Linked DNA regions of Tamandua tetradactyla. The main gene of each other region encodes a partner of the protein of the gene in region 2 in a complex. Links are inferred from orthologs where the notes say so. Each region holds a gene or a part of one and is shown on either strand. Other genes may lie near its edges. The genes, in order: LSM6 and USP39.

Region 1 (16,111 bases), on a different chromosome or scaffold from region 2:
TCCTAAAATTAAAATATAATGGGTATCTGCAATAGAGAAATAGATAGTATTACACACCAAATTAATCACAACAGACATACAAAGTTGCCATGACTCTTTTCAAAAGTCATCTTGTTACAGAACAGCACCTCTTCAAAATATTTTGGTGAACAAATGCAACAAAACTGTAGTTAATTAAGCAAAAACTGAGAGTAAAAACACTCTGGAGGTTAATCTTTCTGTTTCAGCAAAATTCAGCATCACTATTATTTAGAAGCCACACAGCAAAGAGAATTAAAAACTAATATATCTGTGGCAGAATTCTCACCTGCCATGCCAGAGACCTGGGTTCAATTCCGGGAGCCTGCCCGTGCAAAACAACAACAAAAACTAATAAGGATACAATATTTTAAGGACTCTTCAAGAAATCAAGTTTTTTAAAATTTGCTTTCAAAGTTTTATTATACATTCTTCCATAAATAGATCTGCTATTTCACCCCAAGTCCATCCACTCAATGATCTGAATTTGGGTTTAGGGTTGTTGTTTAGAGATTTTCTCAAAGTAAATCAATGCAGGCTCAGCAGTTTGGGTAAACTAAAGTACTAGGTTTTTCATCAGTTCAACAAATATGTGTAAGACATGCTGTGCAAGAAAATTAAAAACTATGTTACCTAGAGTCTTCCTTAAAGAACTTAGAATCTATCAGAATTTAAACTCTTGCTAAATAGAAGGAAATACAAATTTAAAAATCTATTCTTGAATTTAAGCTATGTCACTTGGATATTTCCCTTCCAAGGCTTGAAAGATTATTTCAAAATGTGATCAACTGATTGTCTGCTCAGCAGTTTAACTTTTCCACTGAGTGGCTAGCTTATTTTTATACCTACACAGTCTCAAACAATACCTAAAAATTGCAACTTCTACTTCTTCAAGACTCACACCACACAACTATTTCATTCACCTGCAAAGAGAAAAATTACAAAGTAAATACTGTAACAGATTCAGTACTGTGCTGGTTTGAAACTTTTATGTACCCTAGAAAAGCTATGTTCTTTTAATCATGATCCAATATTGCAGGGTGTGGCCTTTTGATTAAATTGTTTACATGGAGATGTGACACACCCCGTTCTGGGAGTGACCTTTTGATTAGATGGAGATGTAACTCCACCATTCAAGATGGATCTTTAATTAGTTTACTGGAGTCCTTTAAAAGGGGAAATATTTTGGAGAAAGCAGATAAAGACACTGGGGATGCTGAGGAAAATGCCAGAAGGTCCCATAGGAGCTGCAAGAGTCGTGTGAAATCAGAAGCTGGGATAGGAGTCTAGCAGCACTGCCATGTGCCTTCCCCCGACATGCCAAGCGAGCCAGATGCCAAGCAAGCCAGAATCTGGAAAAAACCGAATCAGAGAAGCTAAGTGAGGGACCACAGATGATCGGAGACTAGAATCAGAAGCACAGAGAAACGAACTGGGAGCTAGGACCTCAGACGCCAGCCATGTGCCTTCCCAGCTGACAGAGAAATCCCAGATGCCATTTGGCCTTTCCTCAGAGTCAAGGTATCTTTATCTGGATGCCTTAGTTCAGTCATTTTTAAAGCCCTACAACCATAAACTTGTAACTCAATAAAGTCCCTTTATAAAAGCTATTCCATTTCTGGTATATTGCATTCTAGCAGCGTTAGCAAACTAAAACAACTACCTTTAATGACTGGCAAAAACAAACAAATCTTCCCAATCATCTACTAATTGTTTATTTATGTTTTGAACACATGCTGTTTTGTAGATGAACAGCTCTAGAGAGACTAGTAACTCTGCAGGTCTAATAAAGAAACTCAACTCTTGAGTATCAGGTTCATTTTCCCCACTAGGTCACACTTTCTTCATGTAAAAAGACTGAGGTAAAATAGCTGTTTATTTTGTGTTCCCTAAAAAAAAAAAACAACAATAAAATGCATTAAGATGTATCACCTAGTTAACAGGCATAATATTAAATACCATGTCCAAAGTAACAAGGGAATGACAGTCAATAAAGAAGACTACAAATCTTGACTATCAATTGATTAAGAGAAAGATATTATCTATATTATTTTCCACTACCTTTTTTAAAAGCACATATACTACCTGTTCTAAGCTCACCAATGATCACGTCTTTCACTAAATGTCCAGATTTACTCTAATTAACATCAATCTCTTCTAGAAGGTGCTCAATGCTTCAAATTTACATGGAGTACCTAACGTGCTGAGGAGATAACACAAAAAGCATATGGCTTTGGGCCCTCAGAGTCCCTCCAGAGAGGAGCCAAAAAAAACGTAAATGGAGAATTTTATAAAAGTGATATGTACCTGGACAGAATTATGTACACAGTGTTTTGAGAGCACAGGGAAGATTCACTTAGCCTAGTGCTGGCAGATCATGGAAAGATTCCTGAACTGAGTTTGAAAGACATGGAGGAGCCTACCAGCGGAATGCAGAGAAGTCTTAGCCAAGGCACTGGACAGTGCACTTGGATTTGAGGGTAAAATGCTACATAGGCAAGGAGGAGACTCAGCCACAGAGGGATCTGGGCCACACTGAAAGGGAACACCATAAGCCGGGCTAAAGAGCCTGGGCTTGAGCATCTAGGTCCCTTTCCCAAATTTGCAATCATTTGGGCACTTGAAGATTCTTATTCAGTAGTTCTGGGGCAGGACCCAGGAATCTGTTTGCACAAACCTATAAGGGTCTTGTGAACTGGCACATTTGGAAATACTGTTGTTAATGACAGGGAACATGAGAGGGTTTCAAACAGAAACTTGTTTGGGTTATTTTATGGATGAGATTGTAGAGTGGAGACAGGCCATCTCAGTTCTGGCACTGAAGAGCTTAGCATTTTTTTTGGTATTTGATATATATGTTATTACTCTCTCTCTTTTTTCTTTTTGTATGCTATATGGCGGGGTAACTTTCATTCTTTTTCCATGTGAGTATCTCATTATTGCAGCACCATTTGTTAAATTTTGTTTGTTTGTTTTTGTTGGCTTGTTTGTTTTGGGGAAGTGCATAGGTTGGGAATCAAACCTGGATCTCCCACATGGCAGGTGAGAATTCTACCACTGAACTACCCTCGTACCCCCTTTTCTTATATTCTCTTTTTGCATATGTCTTTTCTTGCTCAAAAGACTGTATGTCACCTGAGAGGGACCAATACCAATTTTCTCACATCTTCTCCAGAAACCTACATTCTGCTAAATCTCTTGAAAAAAATATTTTTAAAGTTATTTGGAAAGAATACGGTTGCCTCAAACACATTTTATCCCTCACTGGAGAGCCATATATTTTATATTACTCTTGATTAGGCTTCCTTGGTACTCCTTGTTACTTAATGACTTGCCCATAAATCCATTTTGTATGAGTAAACTGGTTCTGACACCACAATTTTTCCCACTACTTGGTTCAAGTAATTTTAAGTTTTCATCTTTTAAACTGAATAAGGGAGAAGGAACAGTTCTGACCATTTCTGAAACAAGAGATAATATTCTTTAACCATAAACACATAAAAGGAAAAACAGCCCCTTTCTCCAGGGTCACCTTGGTAAAACTCCCTTCAAAATTGAAGTTATAATCAATCTCTATGCTTCCTCTCCTTCCCGACTCCTACTCAGGTTTGTTTTAAACTACCTATTTTTATAAATACTTATTAAGTCAAAGACAGTATACTTTCTGTCAGAAGCTACTGACAGGTCTAGTACTAGACAATCTGCAAACTGCTCTACAGAGACTTTTTAAGTAAAAGAATGGGGGAGGAAGGCAAATTTTATTCATCCAACTGTGCCAGGCAATGTTAGATGCATGAGCAATTCACATAGTAACACTATGAGGTGGTAAGCAGAACTAAGGCTGGACGCCCTCCCACCATAGCCTATGCCCCTTCAAAGGTACAACTGCTGTTTTAAGTATGTCAAGACTCCACTGACCAGGGATGGCCACTGAGACAGAGATAAAACTAGGTAGAGTATAGAAGCAATGGGGGCCGGGAAGGTAGATGCCAAAAGTGACAAAGTACTGTAAATAAGCCTGTGAAGAAATATAATAGTCAAACAGAAAGAAATATAACTAATGTGGTTTTGAGCTATGACACTGAGCAAAAGACATGAAAACCCTTGCTTCCTGGCAATGTCTCCTTATAAACTTTAACCTAATTCTATAACATTTACAGCTTAGAGTAAAAAAAAAAAAATTGGAAGGAAAAATGATATTGCAATGCAAATAAATGTGATGTTGGACTAATCTTTCAGCATCTGAGAAGACCATCAGACAATGAGAAAAAGAGTTCTCTAAATAACTTCTGAAACAGCGGAGGACCTAAGCTTATAGGAAGGCTCAACACTAATTCACTCCTCTGTCCAAGGTAACCAGCAACTTCCTTTCCTTCTCTCCAAAAACACAAGTGAGTCAGTGCACTTCTTTCTTACCTGTGATCACACCAGCAGATTTTGTAATTGTTTTCATTGCTGACCAGCAGGTTCTAAGCTTCTTGGGGGCCAGGAAAATACCTTACCCATTCTATATCCTTGGGACACTTCCCAAATTTGTGGAAAAGACACTCAAGGCCAATGCCAGGCAAAACCCCTGTCTCTTCTTCCCTCACACTTTGGGCAAAGTGGGTAGTACAGTATCATCTACACATTTCAAAAGCTATTAACGTGGTAATATCTCTACTACTGACCACCAAATAAGAGAAAAGATAGTGGAGAGAAAATAGAAATGTTTCTGTGTTGGTCAAAAACTAGCTGCATCAGAATCAACAGAAATGCTTGTTAAAATGCAGAGTCCTGGGGCCTACTCCTATCCAGGTGCTTTAGGCAAGGGGTACTGTAATTTTCATTTCCTAAATCTCCCCGAAATAATTCCTATACACAAGCAGCTCTCAATGAGAAGGCAATTCTGCACCTCCCACTCTCACCCAGGGAAATCTGGAAAAGTCTAGAGGCATTTTTTATTGTAATGACTAGGGAGGGTGGTCCTACTGGTTTCGAGTGGCTGAGTGGGTAGGGGCCAGGGATGTTGCTACACATTCTACAATATACATGACAGCCTCCACAACAAAGAATTAAACAGCCCAAAATGTCAACTGAGGTTGAGAAACCCTGCTATAAGCCTAAAAATGATAATAATCATGATGCCAACACTGTTCCTGGTCTTAAAGCAACAAGGAGTTCTTTTTAATTCTTCAGGTTATAACTAATAAAAACCAATAAGTTCTAACCAAATGATGGGGTATAAATTATAACTTATTAGGGACATTTTATTCCAAAACACAGAGAATTTGAAAACAATTGTCAAAATCTTCAAGGGGTTGCCATTTGTTATCATGGATTTTAGTCCCGGCCATGAAAAAGGTCACTTCCCAATTTTTCAGTGTTACAGGTCCCTCTGATGGTTATCTTTGTTGTACAATTCTAAACTGATAAAATAACCCAGGTGACATAATGTCTTTTTAAATTCTAATACCTATTATGCCACAGTGAGAGAAGCCTGATGCAGCAAAAAGAGTACTCACTTGGGAGGCAGGAAACCTGAGTTCTAATTCCATCTCTGCTACTTAATTAGCTGTGTGAATTGGATAACTCATCCTTTCACCTCTCATGGCCCCAGGTTCCTCACCTGGAAAATAAGGGAGTTATGCTAGATGGTCACTTAAGTCTCTTCCTGCTCTAACATTTGGTTAGCTTATGCCATAACGCCAATAGTACACACACACATATGCAAGCTTCTGTATGATTCTTGCACAAAATTCAAATAAGCAGAATTACCAGACACCACCATGAAAAAAATCATTCAAAAGAGAGGCTCAACTTTCCTGGTTGATGTGTTAGAAATGTTTCAAGCGACCATACTTTTGGTGAAGCGGGAACATTCACGCATGGATGATGTAAACTACTCAAACTTTTTTTGAAAACAATTTGGCAATCTATATGAAGACTCTTTAAAATGTCCACATCATCTGATCTAGTAACTCTACTCCTGAGAATCTAGTCCGAGGGAATAATCAGATACACAGTTAAAAAGAGAGGCTCACCAAAGTATAATCTGGGACGTTAAAATAAGGCAAAAACTCAGAAACGACCTAAATGCCCCACAGTAAGAAAATGGATGAATAATTTATGAGACCTACACAATGATGGAATAAGCAATCAGAAGAAAATACAGAATTAAGACAATTATTTAGTAAGAATTTACAAATATAAATAGAAAACTGTATATACTGTTAAGTACGGAAAAAATAGGTATAGTCTTAACTCAAGTAGAAACAAATCCATAAATAAAATACATACATGGACTGTGGGTGGAAGAACTCAGTGAATATTATTTTCTTCACTGAAGTCCTCTGCATTTTCCGTTTTTCTACAATAGTCATGTATTATTATGGGGAGGAGGAGGCACACTAAATCACTATCAACATTATCTGCATCACTCTAATCCTGGATACCCCGAAGTAAAACACTTGCTATGCACGCGTGCACGCACCCGTACACACAGAAAGTCTCCGGTAATAGAACTCGACTCCATACGATTAGGGATATCCCCCATCCGACAACTCGGGAAGGTGGGCTGGAGCGGGGAGGTCCACTCCTTAATTCCTGGGAGTCAGGAGCAGCTAGTCCGATTTGAGCAGCTAGTCCGATTTCAGTGGAGTACCCGTGATTCCCTGCTGCCCTGGGAACCAGGCAAAGCCTGGGCCTGTGTTCAGGATCCGTTTTCCCGCCGAATCCCCGGGGAGCGTCCCGGGATCCGGTGAGACTTCGACAACCGGGAGAGGTCTCACAAGCAAAGTCAAGGCAGCCAGGAAAGTGCCCTTCCTCACCACGCCTCCCGGTTCCAGGCAGCTCTGGGGAAAGGGTTCCAGGGAGCTCAGGAACCTCAACGCCGACAACCAGACATCTCCCGGCCATTCCAGGCGCCGAAGAGAGCCAAGGGGCGCGGCGTCCCGCAGGGACCGACCCCCCGGCAGTGTCCGGGGCCCGCTGTCCCTCTCCGGGTCCCTAATCCCGCTACCGCCAGGCCCTTCCCGGGCCTAGCTGGGGAGAGAGAACCCTGGCCCTCGAACCCGGGACTACGCGCGGCCTCGCCTTCAGACCGCGCGACCGCACACCCGCGCGGCCACCCCGCTCACCTCGCGGCCGGGATCTAGCACCTTACTCCTGGCGGCGCGCACGCCCGGCCTCCGCCGACAACCGCCGCGAAAGCTGAAACCGCCGAAGCAGCGGCACTTTCCGCCCCAGCCAATCAGTGCTTCCTCCAGCTACGGCAGCCCGTGAGGACCGAAAAGGCCGGTCCTGGCCCGCGCGCGCAAATTATAGAACCTCGGTTTGCCGAGATCTTGCCGCCGGGTTCAAGTCGGAGGCGGTGGTGATCTTTCTTTTAACGGAAAGCCTAAAACAGTATTAACAACCAAACTAAAAAACCCAAGCAAATAAAGAACTGGAAGTGACAGGATTTCTTTGCAGAAATATAAGAAATAGCGTGAAGTCAGGAAACTGGAATTTACTGCTAAGGTATGTCGGGGCATACCCAGAAATGTCGCTGAATAATCTCATGAAAATAAACAAATGAAAAGGAGCCTCAAATCTTTAAATCCATCTTTGGATTTTGATTTAAATGTGTGAAAACAAACTCATTATTAGCAATTCCATAGCAATGTTAATTGAAACTAAAATAATTCGTTAGTAAGTAACTATATTGTAATGGCATAAATTGTGTTACATTACAAACAGTAATTCTAATTGGAAATGCTGTGCGGACATTATTTAAGTGCTGCTATGGGAACCTGGTTTGGAATTTTGCATGAATTCTCGGTATTCTTGCTATTAGTGAAACAGCAGAGGAAAAGGGAGACAGCTGTTACACCAACATTGAATTCCTTTTTTCCTTACACACATACCCTCATCAAGATAGACTTTAATCTTCCTTATGAGTTGTAACACTATAAACAAAGTGCTACCTTTAAACAACAGATCTTAAATCTGTTAAATGTTATAGGATATAATATGCAGATTTTTTTAAAGACAAAAGTGAGTATCCCCCCTTACACACACATACACTCCTTGTAAGCCTCTCTTAGCTGAAAGGTGAAGAAGTGAGCAGTTGACTGATCTTGTGAACAGAGAACAACTGGGGGTGATTTAGCAAAGAGCAGACTTCCTTAAACCCTTCTCTAAAAGAGTGGTTTGGGTCAAGACCAAGCAATTACAGATTAATTGAGAGAGCTCTATTTGAAGTTCTTGCAATATAAAATATAATGTAAATTTAAATTTTTTTTAAAGAAAAGTACTATTAAAATCAAGTAATTAGCTGCAAAGAACAAACATAATAGAATATAAAGCTCTGTCCCTAAAATCCTTCTTTGCAAAAGACATCAGATTGTCCCACATTCCTCACTGATTGTTTTCTTAAATTTTGATTCATAGATTTTTCCCTCGGTTTCCACAGAGCCCTGGTGGAAGCAGTAGATTGATGTGGAGGACTGGGGGTGGTGAGGAATTTTTAGAGCATAGTTCATCTACAGGGCAGCGGCAACCTTTTTCAAGGGGCACTAACATGAATTACTTCATGTACCACCAAAGCTTATCAAAAATATGATTGTCCTCAGAATCCCCTCACCAGCTTAAAATTGGTTTTTACTAACTCACGAGGCAACTTTCAGTATTTCACTATTTTTTCCTTCAACATCATATATTTTACAAAGAGAATATATGTGGGATTTTTCTGGTTTACTACCAAGAACTGGTCTTTGAAACCTGAACATAAATACTAACTTATTAAGAAGCCCTAAAGTCATAAAAACAGTGTGGCACAGCTTAGTTTGGCTAAGTTTATCATTGCCTCTATATAAGTTTCTATCCAATGAACTAAAAATCGTTAAGATCATGACATCAGAAATCGTAATATATGAATTCTGCCTCCTCCACTTCTAATTGTAAAAATCTTTCTTGGTCCAGTAATTAAACTTATCTAAGGCTTTTTTTAAAATCTTAAAACGGAGGAAATAAAAGTTAATTTTTTTACCCTAGAATAATGAAATGATTGAATGAGAAAGAAAACATATACAAAAATGCTTTGTAACGAGAACAGCATTTCAAACATAATCTGTTATTCTTAAAACAGGCAAATACTAGTATAAAAATACTAAAATGAACTCAGCCATTTCATTATTTATTGCACATTTCTACAAGTTTTCATACCTTTGCCTTCAAGTAACTATCTCCATTTATGTTTCAGATTCAGAAACAGAAACAGAAAGTATCATTTTTAGCTTGTCTTATAAAACACCCAACAGCCCGGAGAACGTGTGGGTGATTGTACTATGATGCTGATGTGGGTAAAGATAATAAACACAAACATGGAATTGGATTGGTCACATTCCCAAAGCAGGTTTTAAAATGTTGCATCAGTGTTAGGCATTCGATGAACACTAGTTGCTCTTGCCTGAGCAGTGCATTAACTGTTCTGAAGAGCTGACAGGGGTAGAGCCTCCCTTCCTTGACCTTTCAACACTGGACATAAAAACATGAAAGCTATGACATCCTGGTTTTGGGTATTTTAGGCCACTCTTACCTACCTTTCATCATGGGATGTGAAAATAATTTGTTAAAGGAAATGAGAAGAAAGACATTCTATAACTGCAGAATATCTTCTGAGAAGTGATCTAAACTTGTTGACTGGTGGACAAATTTCTCAGAAAAAGCAATAAGCCTTTTATTTTTACCAAAAGAAGGAATATGTCATAGTTTGCCAAACTGCTGTGACAAATACCACACAAAAGTTTGGCTTAAATGAACAGAATTTATTGTCTTGCAGTTTTGGAGGCTAGAAGACTTGCTTCCTCCCACTTTGGTACGATTTTTATGCTGGCTTGCCTGCACCTGGGGGTTCCTTGGTTTACATCTCTGCCTCCTGTCACATGGCAATGTCCTTCTTTATCTTCTGGGTTCCTGCAAATTTCCTGCTTTGGGCTCCTTACTGTGGTTCTCTCTTTATAAAGCCTCCATGAATCCAGATTTAAGACCCACCCTCATTCGACTGGGCTACACCTTAACTAAAAATAGTATCTTCAAGGGGTCCTGCTTACATGCGTTCACACTCACATGCATGCAGATTAAGATTAAGAACATATGTTCGTTGGGGAACATAATTCAGTCTACCACAGATTTATTCGATAGCATAGGCAATTATTTTAAGCTAGAACATTTGAGATGTGTAAACACATGTTCGAATTTCATCAATCCATCCTTTTGGTCTGAGTTTAACTTCGAAGGCGATGGACTCTGGGTCTGAGCTCCTGGAAGGAAAGTCTGCCAAACGCTGAAATGCTTTACATTCTACTGTGAACTCTAGAAAACCTCTCTCAGCTGTATAATTTAACGAAATCTGTGTGAAGCTGCCCTTGTGTTTTCAACAAGATGAACTTGAAAGGTGAACATTATAAGTGGGAGAAATTATTTATAATTTGGTAATAAAAGTTTATATCTAACACTCCAAATTTCATACATCTGCCGTGTGCCGGCACTGAGATATAAAACAATTGAAGTTGCCTTTACATTTGCCCTATATGAAAGGTCATAAATTAGAATGATAGCGTTCATCTTCTTTCCTAGCTCACAAAATTTCCATATTAACATCTTCACCTCAAACATAAATGGTTACCCGCTACAAAGAAAAGACTTGGATTGGCCTTTATGAATTATAGTTTATGTGGAAATCTGTAGTATGTAAGCTTGCTGTTCAGCTCTCAGTGAAGTGCATTTATTTCAGTAATGCTAATTCTACCACAGTGAAACTCATTGGAACTGTGTGGCCAATGTATATAAAGCACAGTATGTAAAAATTTAGGAATATTTCAGATGTCAGCAACTTATTTCCAAGGTATGGGAGTCTTTAACTTTTAAAAATGCATTTCTATGTCTTTAAGAGATTTCTGTGGCTAACATACCTGCTACCAAGTTTATTTAAAATACGGCTTTCAATTTTCAAAATATTTTAATGTTTCTTCCAATGAAATAAGATAATATATAGCTTTTAATTTTTTTCAACTACACAAAGGCTGGTAACCACAACTAATTTAATCAGAGCATATTATAACTAAATTCGTTGTGGAATATTAATGAATTGGACCAGTGCTTTATGTTTAGGCATTCAAAAAAATGTTTATAGCAAAAAACAAAAAACAACCAAACAGATGTCCTTGATTTTCCAGGGTGATATCAAATCCATATGCTTTTTTGGTCTAAAGATTTCTTTTACCAGCCCAGTGGTGTAGTTAAAATGCAGCGTATTATAAACCGGCAGGCTCAAGCTCAAGAACAGTTTTAGAGATTCATCCAGGCAGAATGCAAAATTTCCAGACCACATGCTAGTTCTTAGTAACTTTCAGCATTGGAAATCAGTTTTCGTAATTCTGGATTAGTGAACATCACGTAGCTGAAAATTACCAATATGTTAGCACATGCTCTTTCATCTCAATTATTTTCTTAAGTAATTGGCTTTTCTCTCTAATGTCAGAATAAATGGATGTTTCTTCAGTCACTGAAGCTCCTGCACTAAGAAGCACATCTGTTGTCTCCAAAAACTCTCAGGAGCAAAGAATATAGCTGGTTCTGTTGTGCCAAAACCTGCAGCAATATCTGGACACGTTTCTAGACGGTCACGCACACCCAAAAATACAACACTGTTCTCATTTCACACGTCTCCCCAAAAGAATTTGGGGAACTGACAGATCACTTTATAAGTTGCAACAAGAGAAAAGAATAATACTCTCTTCTCTTGAAGGTCTTCCTATACAAATACAATCAAGATGAATCCTGACTGCCTTTTATGAGAAGGAGAAACAAAGACTTCTAAATGATTTATGCTGAAGAATTGAAACAAACAGATTGCAGAGTACACAGAACATGGGGAGGACAAACATTATTTCCAATTTCACCAGGGGCCGGGAAAGGATACTGGTATTGTTAGTATTCCTTTATTCATACTGAGTGGGTGAGATCATGAATAATCTGTGTAGACATTTGCTAGATTAGTATCTATCCTAACATTCTGTCCAAATAGCAACTTGCTCCGTTTTTAAGTGTTGTAAATTTGCTTAGTGCTTGGCAAAAAGGTGCTCCTAACTATAAATGGATAAATAAATGACTAAATGAATGAATAAATGACTCCACAGGTGGTCCCAGAATAAGACCCTCTGAGTGCCACAGAATGAACATATATTAACTAAAATAAGAGAAAATGAAGTCCTTGATGTGGACTTTAGAGAATTCAGAATCTCAACAGTTCTTGAACCTTATCCCCACCAATCTCAATCACAGAATTAATTAATAAACATTTATCACTAATCAGGTGTCCCAAACTGATTTAGAGCCCAAATTTTACTTTTTGAATCCATTCCTATTCGGGAACAGCAAAGATCTCAGAACCCTCACTGAAATTTAACTTTCCATTTCTTAACTAGACAAAAGACTTCTTGGTTCCACCTGCAGCATATAAATTACTCCCTAATTACATATTAGGGAATATTAGAGTCTTATGGATTCTACCACTCACTCCGTCCCCCTTCCCCTACCCTGTGCTGGTTTGAAAGTATTATGTACCCCAGAAAATCCATATTTCAATCCTAATCCAATGTTATGGAAGCAACTGTTTCTTTGGATCCTCATTCAACACTGTAGGTTGGAAACTTTCTATTAGATTATCTCCATGGAGATGTGGCACACGCAATTGTGGGTGTGATCTTTTCATTAGATGGAGAGGTGACTACACCCACTCCAGGTGGGTCTTGATTAGTTTACTGGAATCCTTTAAAAGAGGAAAAACATTTTGGAGAGAATCAGAAATGACAGAGCCAACAGAAACTTTGGAGCAGAGCTGGCACAGATGCTAACACTTGGAGAACAGAGACAGGGATGTTTGGAGCACAGCAGATGTTGCCATGAGATGTTAAGCAAGCCAGAACCTGGGGAGATCCAAGGGAAGCCAAGAGATGAAAGCCAGCCCTGGAAAAGCAAATTTTGGAACCCCCACAGGAACAGAGGCTGAAAGCAACAGAGCCTAGGAGCAAGGGACCAGTGTGACTTCCCAGCTGAGAGAGAAAGCCCAAACATCATTGGCCCTTTCTTTGGCGTTAATGTAGCCTCTTATTGGTGCCTTAATTTGGACATTTCTATGGCCTTAGAACTATAAACTTGTAACTTATTAAATTGCCTTTAGAAAAAGCCATTCCTTTTCTGCTATATCACATTCCCTCAGCTTGCCAACTGAAACAGATTTTGGTACTGGAGAAGTGGGGTGCTGCTTCCATTTGCAAATACCAACCATGTTGGGATAGTTTTTTAAATGGATAAGGAGAAGATTTTGGAAGAACAGTGAGGAGCTTAATAAAGAAGTGCTTTAAAGATACTGCTAGAAATGTGGGCTCTAAAGATACCTCTGATGATGCTTTAGACAGAATTAAGGAATGTGCAATTGCAAACTGGAAAAAAGGTGGCCCTTATTTTAAAGTGGCACAGAATCTTGCAGAATTGTGTACTGCTGTTGGATGGAAGTTAGAATTAAAAGGTGACAACCTAGGATACTTAGCTGAGGAGATTTCCAAATTAAATGTGGAAAGTACGGCCTGGTTTCTCTTTGCAGCTTGTAGTGAAATGCGACAGGAAAGAGATAAGCTGAGAACTGAGCTCTTGGGTATAAAGAAACTAGAAATTGATCGTTTGGAAAATTCTGGGCTTCCAGAAAGGGAGACCCCAGAGAATGGTAGCCCATGACAGGATCTAACCAAATATGGAACCAGTCAGCCATTTCTGGGAAAGCCAGGACTGGAGATAGAGTTATCCAGGAAGGATTTGTGGGAAGTCCTTTTGCTTGATGGGCATGATCCCCAGCATACTGCATAAAAAACTAGTAAGAGTGTTGTGGGATCTGTATAGACAGAGCCACTGTCAGTCTGAACTGAAAGGGACAGAAAAGGGACAAACTGGAGGAAAAATAACTTCAGAGGCAGAACTATGGAAGCTAAGGTCTGAAGCAAGAAATCTTGGGCCAGGAGCGCAGACCTAGCCATATATGTAGAGAGGGTGAGTTTGCCCCAGGAGCAGAGGGTGGGCCTTCAACTTCATTGCTCAGGAAGAGTTGTGCAACCCCACACCTTGGAGAGGTTGCAGCACATAAACCAGGGAGGGGGGAGGGCCTGGCTGCCATCCCATTGTTCTGGGAGAGGGGTAAAGCATGTGCTCCAGAGATGGCTGAGATCCTGGGTGCTAACCTGAAGCTTGGAGAGGGTGGAGCTGAGAATAGGTGATCTCCCCATTGTCCCCCAAGATTGCAACCACTCCAGTGTCTGGAGAGAGCAAAGCCAATGATTAGGCCCTTGGAAAAGATGGGACTGCCACTTTCTAAAGGCCCAAGGATAAATGACTCTCAGACTTTGAAATCTAATGAAATCCAATCCAATGGAGTTTGCCCTGCAGGTTTTAGGAACTGTATGGGTCCAGTGACTCCTGTGTTCTTTCCGGTTTCTCCCTATGGAAATGGAAACATGTATCCTTTGACTCTTCCTTCTTTGTATATTGGCAGAAGATAACTTGTCCTGAGTTTTATAGAGAATTTTTGCCTTAGAACAGACCATGCCTGTAATAGGCTGATGAAATTTTGTAGTTGTTTTAACTTTATAGTGTATTTGTACTGTTGCTGAAATAGTTTAAGGGTTTCCTGATATAGTGAATATATTTTGTATATTGATAAAACATGCCTTTTTGGGAATCCAGAGGGTGGAATGTGCCAGTTTGAAAGTATTATGTACCCCAGAAAATCCACGTTTTAATCCTCTTGTGGGAGCAGCAATTTCTTTTAATTATGATCCAATACTGTAGTGTGGAAACTTTTGATTAGATTACCTAATCTAAAATGTGGCCCACTCCCTACCTTTTGATTAGGTGGAGGTATGACTCTACCCATTCCAGGTGGGTCTTGATTAGTTTACTGAAATCCTTTAAAAGAGGAAAGATTTTGGAGAGAGTCAGAAACAACAGAGTTGATGAAACTTCAAAGCAGAGCTGACACAGATGCCGACATTGGAGAACAGAGACAGGGATCTCTGGAGATGCTTGGAGCCCAGCAGACATTGACATGACATGTTAAGCAAAACAGAGCCTGGAGAGAGCCAAGGGAAGCCAAGAGATGAAGTTAGGCACCAGAGAAGCAAAGTGAGGAACCCCCATAGGAAGAGAGGCTGAAAGCCATGGAGTTCAGTAGCAAGGGACCAGCAGATGCCAGTCACATAACTACCAAGCTGACAGAGCTGTTCCAGACCCATTGGCCTTCCTTGAATTAAGTTATCTTTCCCTGGATGCCTTAGTTTGGATATTTTTATAGGTTTAGAACTATAAACTTGTAATATATTACAAGTAAACTGCATTCTGGGCAGTTTACAAAGTAACAGACTTCCTCTCACCCCCCCCCCAAAAAAATAAAAGAGGTTTTCCCAGTATAATTTGTTGTAAGAAAAATGCACTAGTCCAAATATTTAAAAAAATTCAAAAATCAAGAGGAAAAGGGATTCTGAAGGAATCTATTTTAGAGAAAAAGATTTGCTCTTTCAAAATAGAAAGGAAAATAATTTTTCTTTTCTTGGGTTAATGTGAAGGTACTTTAAAGAATAATATTTTATAAGTCTCCACTAGCTGGAGCAGAGAAAGCTTTGGCTAAACTCCATGCAATGGCGTCTTTCCACCCTTGAAGTTCTTTCATTCCTAAACCATTGACAACATTCTGTTGGTCCAACGGTGCTCAGATAATTTAAAAGTATTAATTAACAATATGTGATGGCCTGAACTTCACATGAACCTGCACAAAATGCTACATTAGAAAGAGAGAAAATTTTGCCTGGGCACAGCTGCTGAGCCAAACTGGCACAGGGATTATCCCCATCCTCTAACCATTTTCATGACCAGTGCCAGTACTAAAGCGGACATTGCACCAGGCAAGGATCTACAAGACTCATTAAAACTGTGGGAATCATTAGGCAGGCCATCTTACTCATTCATCTCTCAGTCTGAGAGGAATGTGGCTATCAGATAAGATACAGGACAAAAAGAAGGTCCA
Region 2 (16,169 bases):
GAAAATTCTGAATTGTTGGAGGGCTTTACATAAACTGAGTTCACAATGTATGACTAGAACAGCAACTTCTGACAAAAACAATCTGGTCATGAATGTCTGAGCACACACCCAATATAGGTCTAAAGACCAGGTAAGATGGGGTAAGTCCTCCCCACACAACTGGTCTAGAAGGGGAATCCGCATTTAATCCAAAATCACTAACTCACAGGTCTTTCCTCAGACCTCAAGCCTGACCGAGCCCGTGATAAATGCCTGCCTGAAAATGGAGGACACGCAAGTCCCTGAAGGCAGCAGGAGTCTAAGGCTCAGGTGTGGCCTCATGGAGCCAACAAATGTTCCAGGCTCAGGAAAAGGCGTGCCCCCTCACCTCTGAGCAGGACTGAGGAATTCCAGGACCCCCCACAACTGGAGGTGTGGGATCAGAATCTTGCCAGTCACAGAGCTACATGGACCATTCAAACAGATGATGGGCTGGACACAGATCATAACTAACTTGCTTTGAAACCTCAAATTTATTTCAGTTTCCCCCTCCATAAACACTGTCCCTAATTATGTTAATTTAACCTCAATTATTAAGAGGCCTGAACAACTTTTAAAAGTAGTACAAGTAGGGTGGGCCACAGTGGCTCAGCAGGCAGAGTTCTAGCCTGCCATGCCACAGACCCCTGGGTTCAATTCCCAGTGCCTGCCCATGCCCAAAAAATAAATACATAAAAATGCTATAAAAGTAGCATAAGTAAACAAAAATAAAGTAGCATTAGCAGTGCTTCCAAAACTCTGAACACACAGCTTTCTCTTAAAACAGAATATTCAGCACAATGAATATACAGCCATTTGCTGGGAAGGGAGATCATAAGTAACAACTCCATCATTAATTACCACCCAGGAGGACTTTACATGCATCCATGTAAGGACAGCAAGGGACTCTTGGCACAGGACCCAAACCAAAACCCACAGATTTAACATGTTGGCTGTTCTGGTCAAATCATAAGTCAAAAGTTGCCAGGAACTGGTACACAGCTCAGTGTACTCTCTCCTACACACGGTTCAATTCATATTTCTACTCCAAAGTGTAGACAGATAATTTATTACTTTGATTAGAAATTAGCCGTATCTTTTCATCCCCAGCCTTCAACTAATTATTAAAAAGCAGAAGTGATGGCTAGGTGGCAGACCATCAGCCAGACATAAGATTCCTGACTTCCTTACTCGGTTTCCCCTGTTCCTTCCAAAGTGAAAAAAGCCTCTCCAAACCCTAGGGGGCTGAAATTCTTCCCTGATCTCAGGGTGGGAAAGATCGCAGGGAGCCCCAGAATGGCTCCCAAGAGAAATGCCCTCAAACCAGCTCGCATAGACACAGACCGTGATATCCTCCAATGAGGAGTCAATGATCTCATAGTTGTCTGGAAGGCAGTAAAACTTGAGGGTGTGGAGGTTGAGAAAGACGTGGTGGCTGAACTGGACACTGTGAATATAGGCATGAGACTTCAAACCCCGGCCTGCAGGGAAGGATGAAAAGGCTGTTAAGTGCAAAGCAGAGACAACTTTCCTGTCATTGTTTTGTACTGGAACATGTTAGTATCAGCAAAACAAAATATTATGCCACCCCTGAAATGAATCTCCCACATGAACTTCTCTCATCACAAATTAAGCAAGAAAGAATATATAAGCTATCGTTTGGGGAAACTAACTTCATATACACAGTGTGAAATATTCACAAATTAGTTCCACATTTATTAATTAGAATTGGAAATACTCATGTACATACTATATATACATACTTAAATCTGCACATGTATGCATGCACACACAAACAGAGCCTGTGACAGTATGTCACCACTCAATCCTAAATTTCCAACTGCCCACATGAGGGCCAATCCTGCACCTATGGTACCTTTATTCACATTGCCACTGCTTTTTAGAAGCTCTCCCCTTTCATCCATTCAAACCCTACATATCGTGCCAGTTCAAGCCCCACCTTCTCCACGAACTCAACAGAAACACTCCAGCCAAAATTAACCTTTCCTTTTGTCAGCTCCTACTGCCCTTATTTATATTCACTAGCACACAGACTAGGAGCAATCTTTAAGGGCTGAGGGAGTTTGCTGATTGTTTTATGTGTTAACCTTCACCCCTTTTAAGAACAAAGAAAGTAGTTTATATTTCTTTTGAATCCTCCACTCTACTATGAACATTTGCTTGGTCTGAATAAGCTGGAATAATAAGTTCTCTGAAAATAAGATACCCTTTCAGATATATTCAGATTCTAAACCAATCAGAGAATCTCCTGTTGGTTTTCTAAAAGTATTCTGATTTTCTGGGGACAAATCATTAGATATGATTAGGGATTATTCGACATGACTCTTGATAGCAGCTTACTTTCTAAAAACTCTCCAAAGATCTGTGGCTAGTGCTGAAAACTCTACGTGTCTATCATATCACACGCAACATTTATTTACCCTGAAAGTACTTGCCGCACACCAGACAGGCATATGCATTGATATGCGAGAGGGAGATGGAGCACAGTTTTTCAAAGTCAAAATCGAGCACACTCCTAAAAGAAACAAAACAAAAGAAAAAACAATAGGGATGGATATCTAGGAGGCCACCCAACCGATGCAGTGCTTGCCAGTGTCAACTAGCACCCTGCAGAGAACGCTTCAACAACTGGCTATAAGCTGTAGGGAGCACTAACTATTGCCGCCTTGATGTTAAGTGGCACCTCCAGCCACAATGCCCCAAAGCGGACTCAGGTGTCTCAACCACACACAACCCCAAGGACCCCCTTGTTCACTAACTGATACGTATAACTGTTCAAGGATCTTCCACCTACTCACTTTCTCTGGAGGAAAAACTGTAAGAACTAGACTAAGTAGCAGGACCTCAACAGCATTCCGAATTAAAAGACCAAGGGTAGAAAGATATAAAAACTGTGAACAAATCCCTCTTATGAAAAAAAAATTATTACGGTCCATAAAAATAAACAGGGAGCCAAAAGATTTTTAGGGTAATACCAACAAACTGATCTATCCACATAAGTACAAAGTAATGATACATGAGGACTGAGCAGGGAAGGGACAAAAAACTTTATCTTCCCTGAAACCATGGTGGCAAAGGGATGTCTTCTGAAGTATCCCCCTCAATTAATTATAATAATTTTACAGAGCTGAGCTGTCTAATAAAGGCTTCACTAGCCACCTGTGGCTATTTATATTGAAATGTAAAAAAATGAAAATTGAATTAAATTTAAAATTCAGTTCCTTAGTTAAACAAGTCACCTTCCAAGAGTTCAATACCCACATGCGGCCTGTGCCTGCCACAGTTACAGAGCCCGGCCCTCAGAACAATCCCACGGGTGCACAAGGTCCTAATGCACAGCACTTCCCTCAAGAACTGGCCGAGCAGCATTCTCAGATGCCATCTGGGCTCAGAGGAAAGGATGCCATGACGAGATAAATACCTCTGCTTTAGGATAAACATTTTTTTCTGAGCTGAATCCCAGGCACCTAACCTAGTTCCTGGAACACAGTGAGCGCTCATAAATACTTCATTTTACCACTGTTGTTTGAAGGACACTGTTTCCCATTATTGCAACATGCAAATTCAAAATGAACTCAAGGTTCTTTATGCATGTGCCCACCCTCAAATAACGTTCCTGTCCTACAACATGCACCTAACCGTTCACAATGAAAGATAAAGGTTAATAATGGCAAGAAGCACAATTTTCTGGGCTTTAGAAAAATAAAGAAAACTTTAGAGGGGAACATTTATGAAATGGTGTGCGATATACAGCTCAAAGACCTTTCTGCAGAGATTGGGTGGATCTTTTTGCTACCTTCAGCATCCCTGTCCTACTGACCTGTTAATGGTGTCCAGGTAAGGGCAGTGGCGGCTCCTCCGATCCTCAGAATCCACACGGCCATTCTTTGCTAGAAAGGAAACAACCACAGGGCTTTGAAAATGGGAACCTGTACTGAGAGTTAACTACGAGTGGAAGCAAAGAAACAGAAATGGAGTAAGCTAATCAAGATGAGTTCCTAAACAGGCAGCCTCATGACACCCAGAAAAGCCCATTAATGGCACAAGCCACAAACTGGGAGAATGTGTTTAGAACCCATATAACCAACAAAGGATTAGCCTGCAAATTACATTAAAAAATCCACGAATCAATAGGAAAAAGACAAAAACCCAACGGAAAAGTGAGTCAAAGACATGAAAAGGTATTTCTTAAAAGAGGACTACAGGCCACAAACATGTGAAAAGATGTTCAACTTCGTCAATAATCAAAGATCTGTAAGTTTCCTTGCACAATGACGTCCCGGCCTGGGGAGGCAGAGATAGTATCTCCCTAAGAGGGAAAAGGGCAGGGACATTCACTGCCCATTATAAAATATACACGTTCTTTAAGTACAGGCTTCAATTCCGTAAAGCAACCCACTGTGCTTAAGGGTGCCACTCAGACCTCTTCATACTGCTCCATGGAAGCTGACACAAATGCTAACAGTCTGGCTACTGCTATTACTGTAACAAACTGTTCTTCATCTCCAACCATGAATCTCATGTCCTCCATTGGCATCCATGAAACAAATTAGCTCGCAGACAGGGAAAATCTTAGACCTTTCACAGTTCTTAACAAGTGAAAGATTTAAAGATGTACATTCATGTTGTTCTTTAAACCATACTTGTACATTATATTCAGTCTTAATTCCGGTGATATACCCCAAGATAAAAATAAAAGTTAAAGGGAGAAAAAAAGACAAGACAGTAACACTAACAGGGATCCTTAGCATGTCCCTGAGAAAACAATCTCACCACAACGAGGTGAAATAACTGAGAAACCATTTCCATTCCCAGGAAGAGAAAACCTGGGTCTGAGAGAGGATTTAATAAAGGAAATCAGACAGTACCCTAAAATTATGCATTAGATAATTCAAAGAATATTTACCAAGTACTTTCTATAAACAAGGTGCTATTCTGGACTTTGAACATAATACAAAAATACAACCGACACTAAGTTAAGGAACTTAAGAGCTAATGTTACAGTTTAATCATATGGATAGTCAGGACCACAGCAGAATTACAAAATCTTGGAGAAAAAGACTCCACCCTCAGCAACCCACCCCTAGCACGTTGCCTAGCCGTACATTCACCTGCTACTTCCTCAGGCTCCTACTAATTCAGCAGAATGTAAGTATATAGGAATATGTTGAAATCAGAGTACAAAGTCAGCGAAGGTAAGGATGATGAAGTTAGGGAGAGCAGGAAAAGCTTCAGAAGTGGTGAAAATCTACTTAATGATTGGCAGGAGTTCAACAAGCAGAAGAAAGCACTCAAGACAAATCCACACATCGCAGATGAGGTCTGCAGGAACTCATCCTTCTCAGAAGTGTAAGGGAAGGAGAAAGTGGCTCGCAATAGGAGGCAAAAGGGACACTCATGGATGGGAGTCACAGACTCATTAGACATTGTTAGAAGAGTCCTCAACGGTCACTGCTTCCAGGACTACTTCCACTAATTGACAGACCGATAGACACGTGAAACTCTTTTGTTCAAACCACAGCAACTCGGTTTTAGAGGCAGATCTAGAATTCAGCTCCCCTAGCAGCGACAACCCCGGAGAACGGGGCATGGCGGAGCAGGGCCCAGAGTACCGGCTTTCGACACTGATCGGATTCCAGAAATTACTGCAGGGTCCATACTTCGGGGTTGTTGTGAAAATCAGAGAAAAATAAGACCTACGAAGTAATTAACACAGCGCGTAGCCCACGATAAAGGGAAACTGCTGTCCATGTTAGTATGAGAAATATTATAACGACGGCTAGCCTTAAGGTTAGTGCTTTCGCACTAAAAGACAGTCGAGTTAGAGAGGCAACACCCAGGGAACCTGGGTTTTCTCCCCGGGAGGAGCACCGGGGAAAGGTGCAGAAAGCGAGGGCGGCGCGAGGGTAGGGCCCACACCCGGCCCCGCGCACCTCGCACCTCCCGCTCGGGTTCCGAGTCCTCGTCAGCCTCACGCTCCCGCTTCACCCGCACGACAGGGACTGCCGGAGTCGGGGCCTCCCGCGCGCTCGCCGGCTCGGCCTCCCGCTTCACGCGCACCGGACTGCCTCGGGAGCTCGCCACCTCAGGCTCCCGCTCCCGCTCCCGATCTCGCTCCCGCTTGACCCGCCCCGAGCTGCTCCGCGAATCGGACTCGCGCTTCCCGCGGGCGGAACCCCGAGACTCCCGCTTGGACCGGCCGGACATCGTTGCAACGGGCCTCACCGCCCCGCGCAGGCGCCAGGAGTACTGGCGCTTGCGGCACCCGGCCAATCAGGAGGGCAGCTGTGACCGAGTCCGAAGCCCTCTACGGGTGGGCGATGGGGCCAAACCGCGCTGCAGGAAACTCGTGAGAAGTGCTGAAATTTTCTGGCGGTGTAGGCGCTGCGCGCGCACCCAGGACGACATGCAGGCCCACTGCAACTCTGCCCTTAATTTCTGTCTTAAAAAGGCAGGACTGTTGTTGAAGAAGACCGTATATCTACATAGCTTTTACAATATGAGAAGACCGGATAGCTATATAGCTTTTACAATATGACTGTGTGAATGTGAAAACCCTGTGCAGGGTATAGACAGATGAGAAAAAAAGGAAAAAAAAAAGATTAAAAATAAATAAATAATAGGGGGAGATAAATGATAAAAATTAAATAGATTGAAATACTGTGTGTCTATGAGCTGAGACTTAGCATCAAGGGATTGAGAAAACCTTCTTGACCAAAAGGGGGAAGAGGGAAATGAGACAAAGTGTCAATGGCTGAGAGATTCCAAACAGAATCGAGAGGTTATCCTGGAGGTTATTCTTATGCATCAAGTAGATATCATCTTGTTTTTCAAGATGTAATAGAGAGGCTGGAGGGAACTGCCTGAAATTGTAGAGCTGTGTTCCAGTAGCCATGTTTCTTGAGGATGATTGAATAATGATACAGCTGTAACAATGTGACTGTGTGATTGTGAAAACCTTGTGTCTGATGCTCCTTTTATCTACCTTGTCAACAAAGGAGTAGAACAGATGGAATAAAAATAAATAATAGGGGGAATAAATGCTAAAATAAATTTAGTTTAAATGCTAGTGATGAATGAAAGCAAGGGGTAAGGGGTATGGTAGGTATAATCTTTTCTTTTCTTTCCTGTGTTCGTTTTATTTCTTTTTCTAATGTCTTTTTATTTCTTTTTCTGTATTAATGCAAATGTTCTAAGAAATGATGAATATGCAACTAAGTGATGATATTGTGAATTACTGATTATGTATGTTATTTTATTTTTTTAATTAATAAATAAATTTTAAAAAAAAAGAAATACTGTGGGTCTAAGTACATGGAATCTTGAATATGGCATGAGATCTTGTTGGTCTGCTGAGGCTAGTGTGGTGTCCAACATATCCCGGAGTAATGTGGGCAGAGAATAAAGAAATATTTGCAAGGTTGCCTTGGGGGACCAGGGAGAAGGGAGGAAATATTCAACTTCCCGTATTTGGAGAATTTCTAATATTCTCGCAAGCAGTGGGGACAACAAAATGAATACATTGAGCCCTTAATCTTGCGGTTCGCCCTTATGAAATTTATTCCTATAAAGGATAGGCTAAGCCTACTTAAAATTAAATCTAAGAATCATGGGCAGAGAACATATTTTGTTGCTCAGTTGTGGCCTCTCTCTCGAAGCCAACTTGGCAAATGAACTCACTGCCCTTCCCTCTATGTGGGGCATGACTCCCAGGGGTGTAAATCTACCTGGCAACATGGGATAGAAATCCCTGGATGATTCGGGACCCAGCATCAAGGGATTGAGAAAGCCTTCTTGATCAAAAGGGGGAAAGAGAAAAAAGGAGTCAAAATAAAGTTTCAATGGCTGAGAGATTTCAAACAGAGTTGAGAAGTTATCTTAGAGTATGCGTTTATATGGATATCCCTTTTTAGTTCATGGTGTATTGGAGTGGCTGGAGGGAAGTATCTGAAACTGTTGAGCTGTGTTCCAGTAGCCTTGATTCTCGAAGATGATTGTGTAACAATATAACTTTTACAATGTGACTGTGTGATTGTGAAAACCTTGTGTCTGTTGCTCCTTTTATCCAGGGTATGGACATATGAGTAAAAAAATATATGGAAATAAATAAATAAATAATGGTGGGACAAAGGGTAGAATAAATTGGGTGCATGAAAATGCTAGTGGTCAATGAAAGGGAGGGGCATGGCACTATGAATTTTGTCTTTAATTGTTTTTTTCTGGAATGATGCAAATGTTCTAAAAATGAATCATGGTTATTTGTAAAACTTTCGACTTGATATTTTGAGAACATTCACAATTTTAACAGCTGATCTAATAGTATCTAAGTTAGAATTTAAGAACTTTACTATCTGAAAAAAATGATCATGGTGATGAATACACAACTATGTGATGATATTGTGAGCCACTGATTGTGGAATGTATGTGTGTAAAGATTTATCAATAAAAACATTTTTTTCAATACACTTTACTCAGATAAGAGAAAGGAAGGAAGGAAGGAAGGCTGTGGGTCAATGAGAGGGAGGGGTAAAGGGTACGGGGATGTATGAGCTCTTTTTTTTTCTTTTTCTGAAGTGATGGAAATGTTCTAAAAATGATCATGGTGAAGAATACACAACTATGTGATGATATTGTGAGTCACTGATTGTATAATATGATTGGACTGTATATGTATGGATATTTCTCAATAAAAATATTTTTTAAGAAGGCAGGACAGAACTTCCTACCCACCAGGGAGTTTCCTTCCCTGACCACTGATCTGCTGCATAGCTTGTATTTCCTAGAGTTTTGCCTAAATGGAGTTATATACTATGTGCTCCTTTTTCACCTGTCATTCAGGTATGTTACTGGGTGCATCAAGAGACTTGGACTGTACCCCACTGACACCCTGGCTCCTCCCTCCACGCCGAGGCGTGCTGGGCGGGCTGCGGAAGGGGCTTCCCGGGCACTGGTCCTCACCCACCGCGGCCCCGCTTACAAACGAGAAAACAAGGCCAAGCAGCGCGGCCCTCACCGCGCGCCACCCCCACCCCCAAACTCCGCGCACGGCGACGTTCGGCCCCACGGGCCTCCCGCGACCGGAAGTCACGTCTCAGAGCCTGAAGGCAAGCGAGGGCCGCGGCGGGCCTCTCCCGGCGGAGGTGGGGGCGGCCGTTGGGGCTGTTGAGGAGACTGCGGATCGCCGCGCGGGGCTCCAGATGGATGCGGCGCCGGACCCCGGGCCGGGGCTCTGCTGCAAGCCTGGCGGGCGGCTGGACATGAGCCACGGCTTCGTACACCACATCCGACGGAACCAGCTCGCCCGGTACCGCCCCGCTCCGCACCGCTGTCCCCGGCCCTGGCCTGCTCGGCCGTCCCTGACTCTCGCTCGGCTCCCCGCAGGGACGACTACGACAAGAAGGTGAAGCAGGCGGCCAAGGAGAAGGTGAGGAGGCGGCACACGCCGGCGCCCACGCGGCCCCGCAAGCCCGACCTGCAGGTGTATCTGCCGCGACGCCGAGGTGAGGCCGCCTGCCCCGCCAGCTGGCTACTTTCAGCCGCGCGCGCCGCCGGGGACCTGCCGCCTGCGACGCACTCCCCTTCTCGGTGTGGAAAAAGCCAGTTCTCGACCCCCGAGGCTCAGTTCGCCTGGTCCCTTCCCGGAACGTCCGCCACAGTGCTCCCGCTCCGCTCAGTGACCCCCCTAGGGCAACAGGCGGGGCTCACGGCCCCCAGTTAAGAATCACTGTTACGGGCGATGTCTGGGAAACGATAGAAGCCGGCGAGAAGTTATCTGTCGGTTTGTCCGGCCTTATTGTGCCTTTTTATCCTCTATACCTGGTGGTGAGAAAGCCTGGCACAGATAGAAGCGCTCAGGGCCCAATTGTGGAATGTCGCCCAAATGCAGCAAATGGCTTTTCCCCCCTGCTTCTTTTCGATGCTTTCAGCTTGTATGTATGCCAACCCCTTTAGTCTTTAAAGGACTCCAGAATAGAAATTCTTATCCTTTCTGTTTCGCAGGAAACTGTGGCAGGGAAAGGTTAGGTAACTTGCCTTGAGATTTCAGAGATAGTAAATGGCAGAACCTGCATTTGAACCCAGGCAGAGTGGCTCCAGAGGCTTCTCTATCCTCTTCTCCTCCACTACCTTCCACCCCTATTCACCAGACATGTGTATTGTGCATCTGAAATATGTCGGGGTGCTAGCCTCCAAGGAGGTGGGAGGTATATTAATAACATCACTTCTGATTGGCAGCACACTACACATACACACTTTTGGGCACCTCAGAAGACTAGGTTTTTCTGTACAGTATGTTTTAATGCATGGTCTTTATGGGCAAGGGCTCTAGCAGCCCTCCCCCCTTCCTCTCACTCTGGTTCATCCCTCCAGATGGCTCTACCCGCCCAAGCAACCCAGATTATGAGGAGTCCAGTGAAAGCAGCAGTAGTGGTGGCTCTGAGATGGAGCCGTCTGGGCATCAGCTCTTCTGCTTAGAATATGAGGCGGACAGCGGAGAGGTCACATCAGTTATCGTGTATCAGGTATGCCTCATGTGGAAACAGCTGCAGCCTGAAGGTCCTGGGCCATAGTAGAAATCACTGCCAGACCCTGAGCCAGTGTTTTCCTCAGGGCCAGTGGGAAATGTCTGCTCCATGTGGGAGCATAGGACTGCCAGTGATGCTTTACTAGCACAGGTCACTCCCATCATAAGGTGATACTTGGTGGGGAACAGGGAGGGCTCACTACCACCCATTGAGAATTACTATTACAGGAAATACCTGGGAAATGACCAGAGCCAGCATGAAGCTGTTAGCCAGTATTGTCTAGGGTCAGGGCAGGTCGCCTTTGCAGAAGACGCCCAGCTCTGAGCTTCCTGACTCTTCCTCCATGTAGGATGATGATCCAGAAAGGGTGAGTGAGGAGGTGTCAACCCACACGCCTCTGGAGCCACCCATGCGAGAGGCCCTCAAGTTGCGTATCAAAGAGGAGATTGCAAAGCGCCAGAGCCGCCACTGACCAGGTTGAACACATTCTCTCCAAGCTGGATTCGCTACAGCATTCAAAATAATTCTGCCCAGGGAGCTCACCCCTAGTTTGGGTGTGCTAGAACCAGTCTTTGCTGACTTTGAAACCCACCACCCCATCCAACTTCACAGCTGCTCCATCCACAGAAGAAGGGTGCTGCAGGACTACACCTAGCCAACTTCCTTGCAGCCATTCTTTCCTGTGTGTTGGTCCATTTGACCAGCCTAATATTCTGGAATTTTTCAAGAACTGTTCACCTAGCTTGGTGTTTTAGAAGCAGAGACTCCAGGCAGAGCTGGGGTTTATGAAGCTTTCTCATTGAGGTCTTATGCTATGGGACACATGGCCACTGCTGCTCCCCCCCCAGCTCCATGAGCTATGTTATTTTATGGTTCCTTTTTTGTGCATGTTCCTGCTCACTTCCATCCAGTGTCATGTTTTCCTAGCTCTTTTTCTCAGCTCTATTTCTTTGTTCTTTCCTTCAACCCATCCATCTGCCTCAGGTAGACTCCATCAATTCTCCTTCCACCCCGCGACCCTCATATGAACGCCCGCCCTCATGTGACTGCCCTCAGGATATCAGTCATACAGGAACCTTATGAATGTTGTTGCACTTCCAGCCGCTCAGGGCTTTGCACATAGGGAGTTCTGAGAATCTACTTACTCATGAGCTCGCCAGGTAACGGCTGCCAATAAAGTGGGAGACCCTTCGTATTTGAGGCGTACTTGCAAGCTGTCTTCCTCCTTTTCCATGGCTTTGGCAAGTTTCTCACATGCCCCATGCCTTGTGCTGTCTAGATAGGAGACCTAGAAAGAAGATGCCAGAGCTGAATTGCAAGGATCTCTTGCAGGAAAACTGCCTTGGTTAGGGCTGCAGAATTCTAGCTTTTAACCTTATCCCTATCGGGGAATAGACTATCCTCTGCTCAGAGTAAAGGGGGATTATCTAAACAATTTTGAAACTGACTCTCCAAATGTGGTTTAGCAGTCTTAAACATACACAAAACAGAAAGGGAAACTTAACATAAGCAATAATTGCCTGTTGGGAGCTCTAATTGCAAAAAGTCCTGACCAGTGTCCCAAAGGAAGTGAAACAAGCCTCTGCCCTCTGCCCCATCTCCTGCTCCATGCTTTCTCAGTTCCTACCTCCTAAGTATATAAACTGAGATCCTTGGAATAAAGATTCCCAGGAATATAACTGCTTCCATCTCATGAACATTTTTCCTAATGCTGGGTTAGGTTAAGGTCTGAGAAGAACATAAGACATGCTGCGCACTGAGGTTTAGCGTTACTTCAGTTTTCCAGCAAGTTGGCCTAACCTCAGTGACTTGAAATGTGAGGTTTACATGAGCCCATGAGGCACTGAGACTTACAAAAATCAAAGCCCACTGCCCCAGGAGTTTTCCACATCAGAGGTTCAAGATCAATCTGGTCTTATCTCTCTCAGCAGCTTTTCCCCAAAGGACACCTGAGGGTAATGCTGGTTTGTGCACTATACCCACCAAAATGGGGTAAGGAACTACTTTAATTACACCATTTAAAATCACTAAGCCACAGCTTGCAGTGCCAGAAGGATGCTGGGAAGGTGAGTGAAGTGAATAAGAAGGGCCTAGTGGCAAAGTTGGCCAGGGACCAGAGTGCCTCTAACCCAGGAAGCTAGTCCAAGGCTAAATGCCTTAAATTTACCAGTCTTGGGCTCAGTTCTCCTTTCACAGGAAGGTCTTTGCCCTCTACTTATTCAGCTGGCCTGGAAGTGCCTTTTGACAACAGTATTAAGTATCCTTCAATGCCTCCTGAGTCAAGGAGGCCCTGCCAAACTCCACCCGTATTCTTCCTGCAAGTCGGAAGACCAGTAATTTTAGTCCTCCAGCTCTTAACTGATCTTATGACTTGGAACATAGGATTTCACTGGACCTCTTAGATAAGTTTCCTAATCTGGAAATGCTTTTTGGGTCTGTGTGCTCACATCTGGATCTCCTATTTCCTGGTTTTATTTTATTTAGAACTGACAAGCTCAGAAGAGGAGTTGGGGGGATGGCACCTGAAACCTTAGCTTCCTGTTTTATGAGAAAGGAAGAAGGCAGCGTTTAGTGTGAAACTTCTTTGTTCTTTTTTGTTTGTCCTGTGATCCTCACAAAGACCCTCTCAGTAGGAGACGGATGGGAACACCTTGCTTTTAAACTTTTTTCTTGGGCCATTTTGCTTATGGAGTATGTCACAAATATTTTCCATACAAGAAAACATTCTAATGTGTGACTAATTTATGCAGTGTTTACATACAACACTAAGGCTGGTACTAAAATGAGAGGTTGCTGGCCCACTGGAGATGTACACACACATTTGAATGATGCTGCTATTACTTCAGATGTGCCTGAAATGCCTGTCTGGACATGGTCCTTGGAGCCAGCTTATGGCCTTGTAGTTCAGCTTCATTGTTTATTGCCACCCGTCATCTGGAGTTCAAGATGGTACTTTTCAGTTTATTCACCAGACTTGTTTCCATTCATCATTCAGCAATTTGGAAAATTGGTGCTTTGCCATCCAGAGTGTGTTCCAAAATGTTTCCCACAGGCTCTAGAGGCGTCCCAAAGAGGACCAACCCTCTCTGTGGTGCAGTGGCAACAGTGTTGGACTGAGTGAACTTTCCAGTGGGCTGCTTCAGACTCAACATTCATTTGACTAGATTCATTCTTAGCTTTCAAAAAAAAGTCTGGTAGCCTGATAAACGTATCTCATGCCATCCAAAATGGAGTGCTCTTACTGAAGGTAACCCTCGAATTTTAAGGCTTTGTGTTTCCTGGGCCACAGTGGGTTATGTTTCAAATAGAAGGAAATGGGTGGGTTTTTTAGGGGCTTTGGTCTATGCAAGAATAAACACTAAAGCTTAAGTCCTAGCCAGTTGGCAAGCATGGGAATCTTTCAGGAACTTAATGCAAGAAAGGAAGAGAAGAATGTAAAGCTTTTTGTACTGAGTAGGAGCCTCTGGAGTGCATCCAGCCAGTAGAACCAACGTGGGCGATAACAAATGCTTTCCCAGTAAGAATTTCTAAGAAATTTCCATCTCCATGGTCCACTCTGAGGGGCACTGCTAACTGAGATTAGCCCATACTGGCCGGAAGAAACCCTTTGGGGTGGGGAGTATTCACCTTGCTGTGTACTGGGCAGGATCCATGGATGATGGGCAGTGAATCCCCAGCTGATTCACAAAATCTAAATGAGGCCTTTGCATGTAGAAAAAGGAATAAAAATGTTACTTTCCTACCTCTAAGCCTTCTCTTTGTAGAATCACCATGGAATGGTAACAATTATTTGAAACATTTTGAGTTCCCTTGTTGAGTTCTTGTCCCTAAACACCCAGAATCAGATGTGCAAGAAGCCATAAGCACCCACCCCAAATTTCCCCCGGAGTTGGAGTGATGCTAGAAGGGAAAGCCAAGTGAATGGCTCCTCTGCTTTCTTAGAACCAACATAATGGGAGACTGGTGGCACTGGTGATGTTGTGGTGTTAAATGTATAAAAAGCCATGCTTTCTTCTGGTTTTTCTCTTCCAGTGTTTCTGCTACTTGGATGAATAAAAATATGCAAATTATTTGAAGGAAGATACTTTTCAAATACAGTTTGTTTTTTAACTAATAAACTTACTATTTTTACAGCACTGTCTTTGCCAAGAGTTGTAAAATCACTTGTGTCCATAAGGGAAGATGTAAAATCACTTGCATCAGTAAGGGAAGTGATGTGTGCCCTAAAGTCATTCAGTACCACGGAATCAGGGCATGGAAATCTCATTTCATGCTTGGCCTGATTTTTTTTAACCCCTGTAGGAAGAATCATGTTATTTAGTGCTTAATTTTTTCCTCCAGTTTTTTTTTTTTTAAGTTTTATTCACACATGAATATTTTAAGAGCTGCCCTGGTTGGAGCATAACTAGACTCACATGACATTAGAGTTCAAAGGAACCTTTAAAGATACCTGGTCCCCCTTAACTCATATGGGTTTGCCCACTACTACCTACGTATTAAGAGCCCTTCTGTGCAAAGGAGCACTGTCTTGGGGTAATTCTATTTTAGGGACCACTTATATTGTCATGATAAGCCAAACTCTGCCTCCTTGTCACAGCCCTGGAGCCATGTCTTACCCACTGCCATGTCAGGACAGCCAGTTTAAAACCTTAGTAGTTCTCACAGACCTTGGCTGTGGTAATGGCTCAAGAGGAGATGGTCAGTAGGTGTTACGTAAATTATGAATCTCCTGATGAAGTAGGAAGTGCTGAGGGTGCACAGCCCTGTTAGACAGGTGAGAGAAAGGCCTGCGCCAATGAAACGCAGCTGGAGGGAAGGTGGTGCCTTGGTGTGAAGTGGAAAGAGGTATCCTCTAGTCTAGAGGCACAGATCAGGGTCGGCAAAAGGTATTCTGGATGTTCTCCCCCATTGGTCCATTCAGCCAGATTGGTGTTCTTATATAGTGAACACCCTGCACAGCCATACCTGTGGCCCTGCTTCAAATACTTATTCCATACAAGATGCAATTTGAAAGAGATCCAGAAGGGTTTGTCCATCTTTGAGCCATTTTCCAGTTTTTTTTTCTTTGCGTGCTCCATTTCTCCACAGTACAGGGACCCATTTCTTCACTTAACCTTCACCTCGCCATTGCTGCTAAACTTAAGCTCCCCACTCTTGGGAACCTGAGCCCGTGCCCCTTCAGATGTGGATCTGCCCCAGTGTTGTCTCAGAAGGATGCTATTCTAGTTTGCTAGCTGCCGGAATGCAATATACCAGAAAGGAATGGCTTTTAAAAGGGGGAATTTAGTATGTTGCTAGTTTACTGTTCTAAGGCTGAGAAAATGTCCCAATTACGACGTCTATAGAAATGTCCAATCAAAGGCATCCAGGGAAAGATACCTTGGTTCAAGAAGGCCGATGAAGTTCAGGGTTTCTCTCTCAAGTGAGAAGGCACATGGTGAACACAGTCAATTTCTCTCTCAGCTGGAAGGGCACAGGGTGGGCAAGGCATCATCTGCTACCTTTCTCTCCTGGCTTCCTGTTTCATGAAGCTCCCTGGGAGGCATTTTCCTTCTTCATCTCCAAAGGTTGCTGGTTTGTGGGCGCTCTGCTCTCTCTGAATCTCCT

The links.
Region 1: USP39 (region 2) and LSM6 share a complex: the UniProt entries of both Homo sapiens proteins name them as parts of the U4/U6-U5 tri-snRNP complex. The link is inferred for Tamandua tetradactyla from reciprocal best matches to the Homo sapiens genes USP39 and LSM6.

Annotation. Positions count from the first base shown.
Region 1 is NC_135348.1:21,881,678-21,897,788, forward strand, and holds the start of LSM6 (U6 snRNA-associated Sm-like protein LSm6), read right to left. Parts: upstream 7,265-16,111; 5' UTR 7,137-7,264; intron 7,103-7,136; exon of another isoform or gene 6,828-7,102; intron 6,616-6,827; exon of another isoform or gene 6,491-6,615; intron 5,627-6,490; exon of another isoform or gene 5,523-5,626; intron 344-5,522; exon of another isoform or gene 308-343; intron 1-307. UniProt on the Homo sapiens protein: Plays a role in pre-mRNA splicing as component of the U4/U6-U5 tri-snRNP complex that is involved in spliceosome assembly, and as component of the precatalytic spliceosome (spliceosome B complex).
Region 2 is NC_135343.1:59,907,004-59,923,172, reverse strand, and holds the start of USP39 (ubiquitin carboxyl-terminal hydrolase 39), read right to left. Parts: upstream 6,295-16,169; 5' UTR 6,247-6,294; coding exon 5,973-6,246; intron 3,930-5,972; coding exon 3,860-3,929; intron 2,555-3,859; coding exon 2,460-2,554; intron 1,500-2,459; coding exon 1,363-1,499; intron 1-1,362. Other genes in the region: C17H2orf68 (UPF0561 protein C2orf68 homolog), read left to right, coding at 9,237-9,343, 9,421-9,539, 10,408-10,559, 10,912-11,034.